4 linked regions of the Callithrix jacchus genome follow. The protein of the gene in region 1 purifies or fractionates together with the protein of each later gene. This does not show direct contact. Links are inferred from orthologs where the notes say so. Each region holds a gene or a part of one and is shown in the gene's direction. Other genes may lie near its edges.

The links.
Region 2: the proteins of CD9 (region 1) and ITGB1 purify together in Homo sapiens (co-immunoprecipitation; 5 studies listed by BioGRID and IntAct, with this or other methods). This does not show direct contact. The link is inferred for Callithrix jacchus from reciprocal best matches to the Homo sapiens genes CD9 and ITGB1.
Region 3: the proteins of CD9 (region 1) and PTGFRN purify together in Homo sapiens (co-immunoprecipitation; 8 studies listed by BioGRID and IntAct, with this or other methods). This does not show direct contact. The link is inferred for Callithrix jacchus from reciprocal best matches to the Homo sapiens genes CD9 and PTGFRN.
Region 4: the proteins of CD9 (region 1) and IGSF8 purify together in Homo sapiens (affinity purification with mass spectrometry; 5 studies listed by BioGRID and IntAct, counting the BioPlex papers as one, with this or other methods). This does not show direct contact. The link is inferred for Callithrix jacchus from reciprocal best matches to the Homo sapiens genes CD9 and IGSF8.

The regions. Positions count from the first base shown.
Region 1 is NC_133510.1:19,806,102-19,810,265, forward strand, and holds the start of CD9 (CD9 antigen), read left to right. Parts: upstream 1-1,171; 5' UTR 1,172-1,273; coding exon 1,274-1,339; intron 1,340-4,164. UniProt on the Homo sapiens protein: Integral membrane protein associated with integrins, which regulates different processes, such as sperm-egg fusion, platelet activation and aggregation, and cell adhesion.
Region 2 is NC_133508.1:32,606,047-32,609,770, reverse strand, and holds part of ITGB1 (integrin beta-1), read left to right. Parts: intron 1-1,471; coding exon 1,472-1,612; intron 1,613-1,772; coding exon 1,773-1,972; intron 1,973-3,476; coding exon 3,477-3,715; intron 3,716-3,724.
Region 3 is NC_133508.1:154,991,503-154,995,226, forward strand, and holds part of PTGFRN (prostaglandin F2 receptor negative regulator), read left to right. Parts: intron 1-2,812; coding exon 2,813-3,118; intron 3,119-3,724. UniProt on the Homo sapiens protein: Inhibits the binding of prostaglandin F2-alpha (PGF2-alpha) to its specific FP receptor, by decreasing the receptor number rather than the affinity constant. Functional coupling with the prostaglandin F2-alpha receptor seems to occur.
Region 4 is NC_133519.1:20,039,897-20,042,624, reverse strand, and holds part of IGSF8 (immunoglobulin superfamily member 8), read left to right. Parts: exon of another isoform or gene 1-444; intron 445-790; coding exon 791-1,168; intron 1,169-1,848; coding exon 1,849-2,310; intron 2,311-2,681; coding exon 2,682-2,728. UniProt on the Homo sapiens protein: Member of the immunoglobulin superfamily (IgSF) that links tetraspanin-enriched microdomains to the actin cytoskeleton and plays several important roles in innate and adaptive immunity.

The DNA.
Region 1 (4,164 bases):
TCTAAAAAAAAAAGGCAACTTCATTTTGAAAAAAATACAAAGGGATTCTGAGACTTCAAAATAAGGGGATTCTCCTCGTCCAGTCCAGAGAATCTGGAAAGGAGTGTTTAAAGCCCCACAAAATTTCTACAAGTGCCGCGGGGAGAGCCAGCCAGCCAGGGCGCAGGCCAGCCTGCGCGCGCAGAGCTGGGCACTGTGACCGCCGGGTAGGGGCGGGACTCCGGGTCCGGCAGAAGGCAGATGAGTGCGCTGTATAGGGCCTTGAAGGCAGGACGAGGAATTTCGACTTAGGTCCTTGAATCTGGAGAGCTACAGAAAGTTTTTGAGCTGAAGAGAAACGCTCCGAACTCGGCATCTGGAGCAGTCCAAGGCAGCAAGTCCAAAGACGCAGGAGGGAAGGTGGGGCGAAGGGGTAGAGAGAGAACAGCAGCAGGCGACAAACCCTCTGGGGCCACTAATCCTCAAGTTAAGGAAGCGCTTGGGGACTGCCCAGCCCTCGGCCCTGTTGTTATTCGGTGACAGGTACTTGCTAATTACTTCCAAAAGCCTTCCATCGGTCTACCCACCAGACTGCGCGCTTCTAATTCCTCCTACCCCACGTGCTGTGCCCAACGACAAGTATGGCCAGCGGGCGAAGATTTGCAAGGAGACAGCCGGGGGCGAAATTAGGCCAGGCGGCTTCCCTTTAATCCTCGCAAAGCTTAAGGACCCCTCATTCTGGCAGCCGGCCTCGGGCAAGGGGGCCTTTAGCACATACGACCCGGGGAGAGTCTCTCAAAGTAAAGCGCCGGGCCCGGCGCCCAGACCGAACGCTGGGGAACCGGAAGGGCGAGGCCTCCACAAAAGTGGCCGGTGAAAGTGGCAGGGAGTGGCGGCTGAAAAGACCAAGGCGGCTGGAAGGAGGAGTGGGTGGCGGGTGGTGGGTAGGGCGACTCGGCGGGGCTGTGGGTGAGGGAGGCGGGGAGAGGATCTGGCTCCGCGGGGCGGGTGAGGCCGGGGCCCGCTGGACCTGGGCGGGGGCGGGGCGGGGTGCGGCAGGGGCGTGGCCTGGGGGCGGGAGGCGTGGCCGGCGGGGGGAGTGGGGGCGGCTTTTCCCGGCACATGCGCACCGCAGCGGGTCGAGCGTCCTAAGGAGTGGCACTTTTTAAAAAAGTGCAGCCGAGGCCAGCCCGCAGCCGCCTGCATCTCTGTCCAGCGCCGGGTCCCGCCCGTTCCAGCTGCGCGCGCCACCCAGTCCCGCACCCGTTCGGCCCAGGCCAGGCTAGCCCTCACCATGCCGGTCAAAGGAGGCACCAAGTGCATCAAATACCTGCTCTTCGGATTTAACTTCATCTTCTGGGTAAGTGAGCGCGACTGCCGCGCGCTCATCTCCGGGGCCACCTGTTGGCGGGCCCCGGACACTGGCCGCGGGTGCCGGCAGCTGGCACTGCCCGCACCGGGCAGGCTCCGGGCGGGAAGAGAGAGGCCCCTGCGGCTGCCAGTTGGCTCCAAGGCCGGGTCCGGAGCCGGGCGGGACGGGCGCATTCGGGTGCGGGCTCATCACCGCCCAGCGGGTGTGGGAGCTCGGCCCTCCTGAGTAGGGGCGTGCGGCCAGGTCCTGAGCCCTTTATCGCTCGCCTAGGGTTTGAGCCGGGCTGTGTGTCTCCTCCCAGCCCAAGCCTCTCCGAGTGCCAGAGGGGAAGGCTGGGAGAAGCGGGACACCCCTCCTTAGGCCAAGGAGGATGTAGCGGGCAGTGCGTCTCGTGGCCGGGTGGGGTCTCCCAGGTGGTAGGGGGCGCTAGAAAGGGAGGGTGCGGGCGAGGCGAGAGCTCAGCCAAGAACTGCTCTCACTTTCACACAGGAGCGTAAGGGGTGTCCCGGCGGCGGGTGCGGCCCCTGGACCCAGTCCCTGAGTCAGAGTCAGGAGCCCCTCCGCCCTTGAGGAGGAACCTCGCAGGCCCCCGCGCCCTCAGGAGGATTCTGAGCCGCCGTGAGAGCGCCAAGCTCCCTAGAAGCTACCTGAAAGACTAGCTTGTCTTGATTTCTTTCAAGGGCGATAAGTATCTTCACTGGAGAGAACTCTGAGAGTTGGGGAGAGGACGGGCAGATGCCTATCTGCGCCTCTAGTGGGATGAGTCCTGTGTGTGCATTTCCGGGAGAGATCAGGTGCCAGCCGGCTGCCCTCCCGGGAGGGCCTCAACCTCGTCCCCTCCCCTCCCAACCGGCCCACCCAAGGCCAGGCAGGGCGCAGAGCGGACGTTCATCTCGAGAGGCCAGCGGGGCTGGGAGTTCCAGGGACACCCGCTGCATGCCACTTAGCGTCTACAAATGGAAAGGCAGAGAGGCGACAGAAGCAAGGAATAGGAAACCTTTGTGTCCTTGTTTCTATAGCCACATTCCCTACACACATGTGACAATATTTGCCTCTCTGCAGGCAGGAAAGGGTATAGAGAGGTAGTCTGTGCCACTCTCAAGATGGATGTAGAAACAGGTGCATGCCACCAGAGCCTTGTAACAAAAAAGTGCATTTGGCCAGGCACAGTGGCTCATGCCTGTAATCCCAGCAAGTTGGGAGGCTGAGGCAGGAGGATCGCTTTCATCCAGGGTTCAAGACCAACCTGGGTAACATAGTGAGACCCCCCCCCATCTCTACAAAAAATCAAAAATTAGCTGGGCATGTTGGCACACACGTGTGATCCCAGCTACTCAGGAGGCTGAGATGAGAGGATCTTTGAGCCTGGGAGGCCAAGGCTGCAGTAAGTCATGACTGCACCACTATACTTAGCCTGAGTGACAGAGTGAGCCCTGTCTCAAAAAGAAAAATAAAAGAAAAAAAGTGCACTTATTCCCCCTGGAGCTGGTCACTGAGGTCCCCAGAGCCTCCATAACCAAATGTCCTAAGATTTACTCCTCCCCGGAGCTGAAGGGGTGGTTTAACTTGCAAAGAGTGGCCTGCCCTGGTTCATCAGTCACCATACCCAACACATACCCTAGTGAGGACAGCACACAGGTCTGCTCCAACCGTTGACTTGCTTTAAGGAGACCCTGCTTGCAGTGGGCACCCCCTCCTGTGCTGCCACCCACCCCAGCAGCCAGCCAGGTGCCAGGCTTAGCTTCTTCCTCTTGTCAATCCCTGGTAGCAGAGAACTATGTGGGAAGGCAGCTGGCCTCACCCACCCTGGACCTTTGGGAGTTTTCCTCTCCCCTCCCTGGTACAGTCTCTCCTGCCGGTGTGTTGATTAGTCCTCAGCTGTCTGCCTAGACTGCATCGAGGTTTGGGGCTGTAGGGAAACACAGACGGCCACAGTGTGCCTCCCTCCCCCCATCTGCCCCATGGCTTATGCAGGAAGCTGAGGCAAGGCTCCTAGGGCCACCTGGTATCTGCTCTGTCTGTGGCCTGCTGGCCTGCAATCTGTCCATACTGTCCCCAGCCTGCCACCCTATTTGTATTCAGAACCCCCCGCCCCCAGCCCTGGCGTAGGTACAGCTGGTGAGTTATGGAGTCTGAAACAGAAATCACTCACACTGGATATGTTTGGAATGACTCTGGAGATCGTGCAGTCCAGCCCTCTTATGCATAGTGAGGCAGCAGAGGAAGAGAGACTGGGTGATTTAACCCGGATCACAGAGCCAGTAGTACAACCCCTGGGCCGCCTACTTTACTTCTGTCCTCTTCCATCTTCATCAGAGGCAGGAAGGTGGGCAGTAGCTGTGCTTTCCTGAATTATTGTTCATTTGTCCTGTATCTGGGAGCCTATGGAGGTGAAGCCCTCATCCCCTAGGAAACAATGTAATGAAAAGCTGTTGTGAGTCTACTTCTGCAGTCTTAGTCTTCAGAGTTCTTTCCTGTTCTAGTCCTGTGATGTAGCCAAGAGCAGGAAGCGTTGTCCCTGTGCTGTCGATCAGGAAACCACTCTCCAGAGAGGTTAGGTGACTTTTCCAAAGTGATGGGGCAGGGTGGTCTCAGAAGTGGATTACCTTACCCAACTGGGTTTGGCTGCTGAGTGGGAATGGGAGAAGGGTGGGATGAAGCACCTGAAATTCTCTTAAGGGAAGCTGTAACCCAAGGGAACTGCTTGGTGATTATGTTGTCACCACTTCCGTTTCTCCTTGAGATCAGGCATTTATAAACTTGGCATTTGAAACGTGATGTGGGCCTTGAAAAGCAGGCATTGTGAGGCTAGG
Region 2 (3,724 bases), on another chromosome or scaffold:
TTTCTCCAATCTTTTTTCTCCCCAAAATATCTTTTATAGAGTCATCTATTTTGATGAACTATGCTAGAAACTTTTTTTCCCCCCAATTCTTCTCTTCTTATATATTCAAAGGATATAGTTTTCTATTTCAGGAAGCATACACATTCATATATACATATACCACTAACTCTGTAAAAATGTAAATAAACATATGATTCACCAGTTCAAAAAGATTTATAGTGTTCTTTTTCTACCCACAGATGGGAGGGTGTTGAATTGAAATTAAAGAGGAATTTGCTTCTCCTTTTTGAACATAATTCAGTATACTTTAATCGTGCCCAGTTAGCCTTAATTAATAATCACTTAAATAATCTGAAGGCAGTTGTAATACTATGGTAACCCTGTGTGTTGCATGCGCCACTTTCAGCCCCCGTCCCTCTAACCCTTTGGCAGCTTGAATTTTAAACATTTTTACCTCATGCCATGGGGTACCATAATGCTTTGGAAAGGCCTGATTCAGAGGGGTTTTTACAAAGGTTTTTAAGATTTCATTTGTTCCACAGATTTTCCATCCTCCCCGGTCTTGGATAATTTTCCTAATTCCTGTCTTTTCAGGGGTATGAACAAGAGATAGCTTGCCACTGCTGCAGCTCCATTTGCCCTGAATAGTTTTATACTTTCAACAAGCCCTGGCTTGAATCCCTCCTTCTTGTGGGATTTTGTTTTTTGGTTTTTGGCTGGGCTACAATGGTTCCTTAAGCAAATTTGTTCCTAGAGTGCATTGTTGATTGTGTACTCTAGTCCATAGTTAGCTGGAGGGGTAGGACCACAGAAACACCATTTTGCCAGTGGGGAAGACAGCATTTATTTATTCCACATTCTTTTTTTTTTTTTTTTGAGATGGAGTCTCCCTCTGTTGCCCAGGCTGGAGTGCACCAATCTTGGCTCACTGCAACCTCTGGCTCCTGGGTTCAAGCGATTCTCCTTTCTCAGCCTCCCAAGTAGCTGGGATTATAGGCGCATGCCACCACACCTGGCTAATTTTTTTTTTTTTTTTTTTTTTGTATTTTAGTAGAGATGGGGTTTCACCATGTTGCCCAGACCGGTCTCGAACTCCTGAGCTCAGGTAATCCATCCACCTCAGCCTCCCAAAGTGCTGGGATTACAGGCATGAGCCACCACGCCTGGCCTATTCCACATTCTTAAGACTCCTCCTAATTAATAACAGCCCTCTGTACTGTGTGATCCTGAGTATTTTAACTCAGTGATTAAAACAGGAATACTCCTTTGAATTGTGTATTTTATTTTGAAGATTGGATCTTTATTAATTAAAACCTGTTTCTCTAGCGTCTGTGTTTTCCAGTTACTCAGTTGGATTTGGCCTGTAAATATTTTATTGAAATAATTCTTTTCTGAGCAGTTTATCCATTGGTTTTATGCATTCAAGTAGCATTTTGTTGACTTTCCTGTATATAATTAGGCATTCTTTTAGTCCCTTTCCTCAGAAGTCATTTTGGAAAACAGCAAATTATCAGAAGGAGTAACAATAAGTTACAAATCTTACTGCAAGAATGGGGTGAATGGAACAGGGGAAAATGGAAGAAAATGTTCCAATATTTCCATTGGAGATGAGGTACGTTGTATAAAGCATTTTCTGTAGAAAAGAAAACATTGCTTATTTATAAGCAAATTTAGTTTATACTTTGAGAAATGTTAAGTGAGAAGCTTTTTAAAATATTTTTAGTAGATTTAAATTGCTTAATTGGTTGTTGATCTTTTTTTTTCCCTTCAAGGTTCAGTTTGAAATTAGCATAACTTCAAATAAATGTCCAAAAAAGGATTCTGACGCCTTTAAAATTAGGCCTCTGGGCTTTACGGAGGAAGTAGAGGTTATTCTTCAGTACATCTGTGAATGTGAATGCCAAAGCGAAGGCATCCCCGGAAGTCCCAAGTGTCATGAAGGAAACGGGACGTTTGAGTGTGGCGCATGCAGGTAAGCTGGTCATTGTCAGATAGTGGAAGAAAGGGCTACATTGGTTTAGAGCATAGAGGCAGGTCATATTTTGGGACATCCAGAGAATATCTCTCTATTCAGAGCAAATGCTTTTTCTAACCATGGTTGCCTGCCACAAGATCAGTTTGATAATCTTATGTGTGATATTTATAGGAATCTCCTTCCTGCCTTTTCTGCTTAATTACTCTTTAAAGTAAAAGCTTTTATAGCCATAGAAGAAGTATATTCAACGAATAGTTAACATAGCATTTCCCTCATGTGAGAGCAATCTGAATTGTCTAGAACAAAATAAGCTTGTATAAAATACATTTATAGAAAAATGTTTTGAAAAAACATCAAACCAATGATAATGATTTCATCTGGGAAATGGAATTATAAAGCAATAGAAGATGTTTATCTTGTACTATATGTACTTCTGTATTGTTGGAATAATATTTTAAAAATAATGTGTTGTAAAATAAAGAGAAAATGGTATTTTTAGCATGTAGAATCTAATACTAAGAAAACTAACAAGATTACTTCAGATTTTATTTTCACACTGTGGTTCCTTTTTTTAATTGAAAAATAAGAACTGAGTATACTTTGAATACAGCCTTCTCCATAAAAGAATAGGAGGAGGGGAGAGTGTTTTAATCCGGTGTCAACCCCAAATGACTAGGCTTAGAAGGGCTATTGAGTTTTTCAGTGTCTGGGCTGAATAACAATTTAAATGTTAGAATTTTTAAATTTTCCATATCTTGTTTGAATCATGCCAGTTCCATTTTTAGTAAAATGTCATTTAACCAAAAAGGTTATCTTGAAAATACTTTGCCTTTCTTTGCTTGTATATTTACTAGATACAGAATCAGTGCATTCAGTGTGCGTGAGCATTATATGTTCTGAAAATACACAGGGATTCTGAAAAGTCTGTACCTGTAGGATACATTTATTTTTAAATGGTATATTATATTTTAAATAGTATACACAGTATGTTTTTTTCAGCTTCTGTACACTTTTCTTCAACTTCTGTACACTTTTTTGCATGTGTTTATTATATTTCTTTAGGTTAATAGATTGTTGTTTTAAATTTAGAGACAGTTCACCTAGAATAGGAAATGTAATAGCATACCATTTAAAAATGTAACTAACATACTCTAAAATTGTTTATTTTGCCTTTCCACATGTGTTGTTCATAATTTATTGCTAGATATATTTTTATCTTCACCAAAGTTGTTACTTTCCTGAAGAAATTTTTTTCCTAGACTCTTGCATATATTCTGTAGAAACTTGAGTGACTGGGATGTATGTGCACGCCTGTGTATTTGTCCTTGCTTGCACATGTGTGTACACTTCACTACACATCTATGATGTGTGGCATGGACAATCCCATCTAATAGATTGGTAGCTCGCAGAGATATTTTTTGTAGTTTTATTTCCTCTCCTAGTATTTCTCTTTTAAATTATTTTTGTTTTGTGTGATTGCAATTGTGGAATCTTTGTTCAGGTGCAACGAGGGGCGTGTTGGTAGGCATTGTGAATGCAGCACAGATGAAGTCAACAGTGAAGATATGGACGCTTACTGCAGGAAAGAAAACAGTTCAGAAATCTGCAGTAACAATGGAGAGTGCATCTGTGGACAGTGTGTTTGTAGGAAGAGGGATAATACAAATGAAATTTATTCTGGCAAATTCTGCGAGTGTGATAATTTCAACTGTGATAGATCCAATGGCTTAATTTGTGGAGGTAAGTAAA
Region 3 (3,724 bases), on another chromosome or scaffold:
AGTGAAACTTTGTAAAAATAGGTAGTGGGCTAACCTTGGCCTGCAGGCTGTAGTTTACTGACCCCGGGACTAGTTGATTGATACCAAAATTGGCTCCAGTAGGGTAGCTGAACATGGTTGATCTTTAGAGGTGGGAAACAGAAGGAGAATTTGTGGGAGATGTTAGAAAAGGGAAAGAAAGAATCCCGTCTACATCCGTGGGGTTGGTTAGCTCCATTCACAGGGACAAGGAATGAGGAGCTGCTCCTCTACCTGAGATGGGGAAGACTGAGGACACAGAGTAGGATTCAGAGGAGAAAATGAAGGTGAAAGTAGAAGAGACTACCAGGGAAAGGGGAGGAAGATCCTTTTCAAAAGTTGGAAAAATGTAATTTCATGTTTGCCGTTAAAGCTCACTTACGATGCATACAAAAATAAATCCTTTAAATGCTCTTTCTCAGTAAATTAATAGGTCACCAGTTGTGCCCTTAATAGAGAAGTCTTTTCCTCCAGTGTAATTAATTGCAAAAGCTATAGGTAGCTGTTATCTTTCAGATCACAGTTTTCAGAACTTTGCACTCTTGGACTGTGTGGGTGGAAGATTCTGAATTATTAAACACAAGTCGTAATTTAGTTTTTCCTCACACATGCTGTGGGCTCTCAGGGAATGCTCTTTTGTGAAGGACACATTGTGTAAATGATTTGTGGGCCAAGGTGCTCTGTGCGGAGCAGGGGTGGGGACAGCAGACTGTGGCCCTTCTGAGGCAGTGTCTTAGGTCAGATTCTCCCCAGGCCAAGACAGACAAGCATGCGAGTCATGGATTGAGGGAGGGTTCTCAGGAGAACACTGAGGGAGGGAGGGAGGGACTCGAGACGGAGCTGGAGGAGAAGGCAGGTAGAGGCGGGAGCCGGTTCACCTCCCCACGGGGAGCTCTGGAGCGTGAGTGTTCTGCAGGGTAGGCCCACCGGACGGAAGGGGGCTGGGCTTCTCTGCCCCTTCACTAGTCAGTCATTGTCCACAGGCTGAGTGGCCAAGGAGTGAGTGTTTCATAACCTCCGGGGCTGGCTACAGGTGTGTGAGTTTTAACAGCCAGCACCTGCAGCCTAGAGGCTCAGCCTGCCAGCTGCTGTGGACCGGCCACCAGTAGCATTTGCTGCAGGTGGTAATGCCCTTCCCATTAGCGGGTCTCTGTGTAGGAGCATGTGTGTTGAGCTGTGGAGATAATGGTGTTCATGGTGACCAACTTTTATTGAGCACTTATTGTGTTCCAGGTGCTGTTTTAAGCATTTTAATACACGTAGCTAATGTAACCCTGGGTGCTGTCATTTTCATTTTGCAGATGAGGAAACGAAGTCTCAGTGAACTTGGGAAACTCGCCCAGGTCACATGGCTCATTAGTGCTGGTGCTGGGATTCTAGCCCAGGCAGCCTGGCCCTGGAGTCTGGCTCCCACACCCTGAGGTGCAGTGGGGATCAGGGCTTAGAGTCCGGGAACCTGGTTTGGCTTTTTGCCCTCAGCAACCACCCAGCACCTGCAGGTGACAGCAGCACTGAGTTCAGAGTTTTCACGAAGTCATGACAGAGATGCAGGTGTCCACTCTGCCCTTGGCCCTGGGTGAGAGCATGAGGCTATTTACGGCACTTCCTCTGCCCCCAGGGAGCTGGTTTCTTTGGAAAAACACTGGGAGCAACAACAAAAATTATACTCAAGTGCCACGGCGGGTCAACGGGAGGGAAATAAGACGTCCCATCTTTAGAGTGAGCTGACAAGGAATTATCATTTGGATAATTTCTTAGAAATTCTTGCTTTTAGTTTTGCTTACTTTTTTAATATGTAAGCATCTGAAAATAATTTACTTGCCTTAGAATTTGTTTTTTTGAGGCTATTAGTGTATTTTTACTAAATGAATAAATGTTATCTCTTGTTCAGCAAAAATTGTCTTATTTGACATTTATATAAAATGCTTTCTCAAGTGGATTTAAGACAAAACAGTCTTGTGGCTGTTGTCCTTTGTTGCTGGTTGAATCTCAGCCAACACAAGTGATCGTAGTTGGTACCAGTCAAGGGGAGAGGTCAGGGCTTATGATGTGTGCTGTTTTCACATTCTATGAGAATTACCGCTCGTGCCAAAGTCTTCTTCCTCTTATGCCCGTATCAATTTATTTGAGGCTGTTAGAACCTTAGTTTTGCAAAGTACTTTACGATTCAGTATTACTCTCTGGGACTGCTAAACTGTGTTCCATTTTCTCAGCTTGACATTTTTTCCCCTCTTGTTTTGAACTTAAGCACTTCTGCAAGGAAAGAAAAACCATAGTGTACAATAAAAGCTAAACTATTTACAACCCTGTGTTTGGTGCAGTTCGTTTTATGTACATTTCGTTCCATACGACTTTAGCGTCCTTCCAGCGTTGGAATGTCAAAGGACCTGCTTTCTTTGGGAAAGCCTGCAGTCTCCCGTCCTACCAGCTTTCCGATCTGTCTTCTCTGTGGGAGCCAGTTTTTGGCCCCGACTCTTCTTCCTGTGGCCCCTTAGTCTGGCCGGCAGCAGTGCAGTGGTTAAGAGGCTGGGCTCCAGAGCTGTACTCCCTGGGTTAAGCTGCACCTCTGCTACCTGCCGGCTGCATGACCTTGAGCAGGTACCATAGTCTGGTAATAACGGCAGAATAAAGGTATGATAGTGCCTCATCATAGGGCTTTACGAGGATTCAGTGAGACCTGAGGCATGTAGGGCTTGCTTGCCATACGTAGTAAGGGCTGCATACATGACGGCGGCCATACATAGGACTTCTGCCCATTGCACTGACCCCAGGGTTTTGGCTTGCTAATCCATAGATGACATGGCCTTTGATGTGTCCTGGTTTGCGGTGCACTCCTTCGGTCTGGACAAGGATCCTGTGCTCCTGTCTTCCCTGGATCGGAAGGGCATTGTGACCACCTCCCGGAGGGAGTGGAAGAGCGACATCAGCCTGGAGCGCGTGAGTGTGCTGGAATTCTTGCTGCAAGTTCATGGCTCTGAGGACCAGGACTTTGGTAACTACTACTGTTCCGTGACTCCATGGGTGAAGTCACCAACAGGTTCCTGGCAGAAGGAGGCCGAGATCCACTCCAAGCCCGTTTTTATAACTGTGAAGATGGATGGTAAGCATGTCACCCACATTTCTCAGTGTTTGGGAATGTCTTCTCTCTGTGCCAGGCTGTAGCTGACAGAACCCAGGTTGCCACAGTTGGAGGAATGTGCCATAGCATGTCCTGGTTTCTTTGTAGACCTGGCCTGGACCTGCACCCAGAAAGAGCAGCCCTTGCTGTTACCCCAGCTTTGATATTATGTGCTGGTGCCACCATTGAGAAATGGTTTTCAAGACTTACTAGAAAAATTGTCAAGGCTTTGCCTCTACGCTAAATTTATAGAAACCCACTTTACTGTGTCCGAGGGTTATGGATTCTGCCAGGCACAGGCAGAGAGCAGCCTTGAGAGAGATGGTTCAGGTCGATAGCAGAGGCTATAGCTTAGGGACGTGCTACTCTCACTACTACTGGCTTCGCTTCTTAAAGAAAAGAGACTCCACTTGAGGTCACTGTACAGAGTGGGTACTTCTCAGAGCCCCAAGATGGGAGGGTGAGTTCCCAGCCTCACTGACCCATGGTGAATACCAGGGTCGGCCTAACGAGACAGGCAGAGCTTTGTTCCCTGAGCATCCCAGAGTGGGGACAGTTGTTCCTTGGTTTCCAAGAAATGTGTCTCCT
Region 4 (2,728 bases), on another chromosome or scaffold:
GCCATATTTGTAAATGAATGCATACTATATGCAAATGAACACTTTGTTAAGGAACTGGGGCAGGCGCCTTGTGTGTCTGCTGGGCTAGCCAGGAAGGTTGGCAGGCACTGGAGGAGGGGATCTTCTGCCCCCAGTGCCAGGGCAGAGTCTGGATCTTCCTCCAGAAGCCCCAGCTGCCTGGGCAGCCCTGCAGGGTGAGAGAAGCAGTGAGCTCATGGCACAGCTGGAGGGGGGAGGGCATTGTATGGTGAGAACTGACTGGGTCTGTGCCCTTTCCAGCTAGGGCCACTGGCTCCATTGTCTAGCCCAGGTGACAAGCTGAGCCAACTAGCCCTTCTGAGCAAGACTGCCAGCTCCCCTCAAGCAAAGGAGGGAACATGTAGTCTCAGAATCCCCCAGCCAGAAGGCTCCCCTGACCAGGAGGAAGGAATGGTAGACATGGAGGTAGGTGAATGGCAGGGACAGATCAAGGTTCAGTTGGAACCAAGGCCTGGTTAGGTCAGGAATCAGATGTACTCCTTTCTGCCTTCAGGCGCTCTGCTTCTAGTCTGCCAGAAATGGGATGCATCTGGGTGCCAAGGCAATCCTGGGCCCATACCACCTCCTCGAGACCCAAGTGTCTTATATCCCAGCATCTGTTTCCTGTTCTCAGAACAGGGTCCAAGCTGTGGACCAACTTTTCCAGGTCTCCTTTCCTTTTATAGGCAGAAGTCAAGAATGGTGCTTGTGGTGGCAGAGGGCATAGAATGGGGAACCAGGCATCTCCAACTCCTTTTGTCTTTCCCTACAGGAATGGGATGCTGGGCCCGGCAGGTGCTGGTCCCTGAGGGGCCCTTGTACCGTGTGGTTGGAACAGCTGTCTCCATCTCCTGCAATGTGACTGAATATGAGGGCCCTGCCCAGCAGAACTTTGAGTGGTTCCTGTACAGGCCCGAGGCCCCGGATACTGCTCTCAGTATTGTCAGTACCATGGATGACCAGTTCCACTATGCGATCTTCAAGCCCCGAGTGCTGGCGGGTGAGGTGCAGGTGCAGCGCCTACAAGGGGATGCTGCAGTGCTCAAGATTGCGCGCCTGCAGGCCCAGGATGCTGGCATTTATGAGTGCCACACCCCCTCCACTGATACCCGCTACCTAGGCAGCTACAGCGGCAAGGTGGAGCTGAGAGGTACTAGGCCCTGGAACAGGGTGCGGCCACACACCCTCTCAAGGCAGGAGGGACACAAGTGACCTATCTAACTGCCCCTTAGGTTTTGTAGCCAAGGAACTCGACGCCCAAAGAGGTTAAGTGACTTGCACAGTCACCCAATAACTCAGTGGCTGGTGTGGGACTCAAACCCAGATTTCCTCACTCCAGGCCAGTGCTCTTCTGATTATATCAAGCCCCCTTCTGGAAGAAGAGCCATCCAGTCCCCTTTCCATTCCCAAGAATGAGGAAGACTGATGGGTTGAATAGACTCTACTGGACAGTACAGGACCCAGATCTGGGAAAGAGCGTATTTAGGGAAGGAGTCAGGCCATGTGACATTCTCACTCTTTTAAGTTTCTTTGTCTCCTGGAGAAGGAAGACAAAGCCACTTTTCTTGGTATTTCAAACAGGGGTCAGTCTTGAACGTAAGGGTGAGTAGGCGATGGGCTGGTTCTTTGAAATTCAGCAAGTATTTATTGAGTGCCTGTGATACGCCCAGCACTGCGCTTGGCACCACTGAGTTACAGAAGAAATAATACAACATGCGATCTTTGCCCTCTGGGAGCTCACAGTCTATTTAGGGAGATCGGCCCTGAACAGGAAGTAGTAACAAGGGCTGCCAGCCCCCAGCCCTCCCTCACTCCAGCTCTTCTCTCCAGTTCTTCCAGATGTCCTACAGGTGTCTGCTGCTCCTGCAGGACCCCGAGGCCGCCAGGCCCCAACCTCACCCCCACGCCTGATGGTGTATGAGGGGCAGGAGCTGGCACTGGGCTGCCTAGCGAGGACAGGCACACAGAAGCACACACACCTGGCAGTGTCCTTTGGGCGATCTGTGCCCGAGGTGCCAGTTGGGCGAGCAACTCTGCAGGAAGTGGTGGGAATCCGGTCAGACTTGGCTGTGGAGGCCGGAGCTCCCTATGCTGAGCGACTGGCTGCAGGGGAGCTTCGACTGGGTAAGGAAGGGAGTGATCGGTACCACATGGTAGTAGGAGGTGCCCAGGCAGGGGACGCAGGCACCTACCACTGCACTGCCGCTGAGTGGATTCAGGATCCTGATGGCAGCTGGGCCCAGATTGCAGAGAAAAGGACTGTCCTGGCCCACGTGGACGTGCAGACGCTGTGTAAGTGCCACATCCCACTGTGGGAGCTGGGAGGGACAGTATGCTGGTGGGCACTGTGGCCACAGGGGGTACCAGATAGCCGTCATCTGACTCCAAGGAACTTATCTTCTAGAGTGAGCATCCCTGTTAGCATTGCTTCCCGCTCTGCCCTTGATGAGTTTTCTCTGCTCAGTAATTGGTTATAGAGTTAGGAGGGCCATGGGTGAGGGGTGAGATTCAAGCCCCCGAGTAGAAAGATGGTCATACCCCGTGAGAGGCAGACGGGAAGCTTTGAAGCTGCTGCTGTCAAGGAGAAAACACAAAGTTGGGGAATCAGGTGCCTCTTGTCCCCTCCTGCCTCTGTGACACCTCTTCCCCTTCCTGTGTTTTAGCCAGCCAGCTGGCAGTGACAGTGGGGCCTGGCGAACGTCGGATTGGC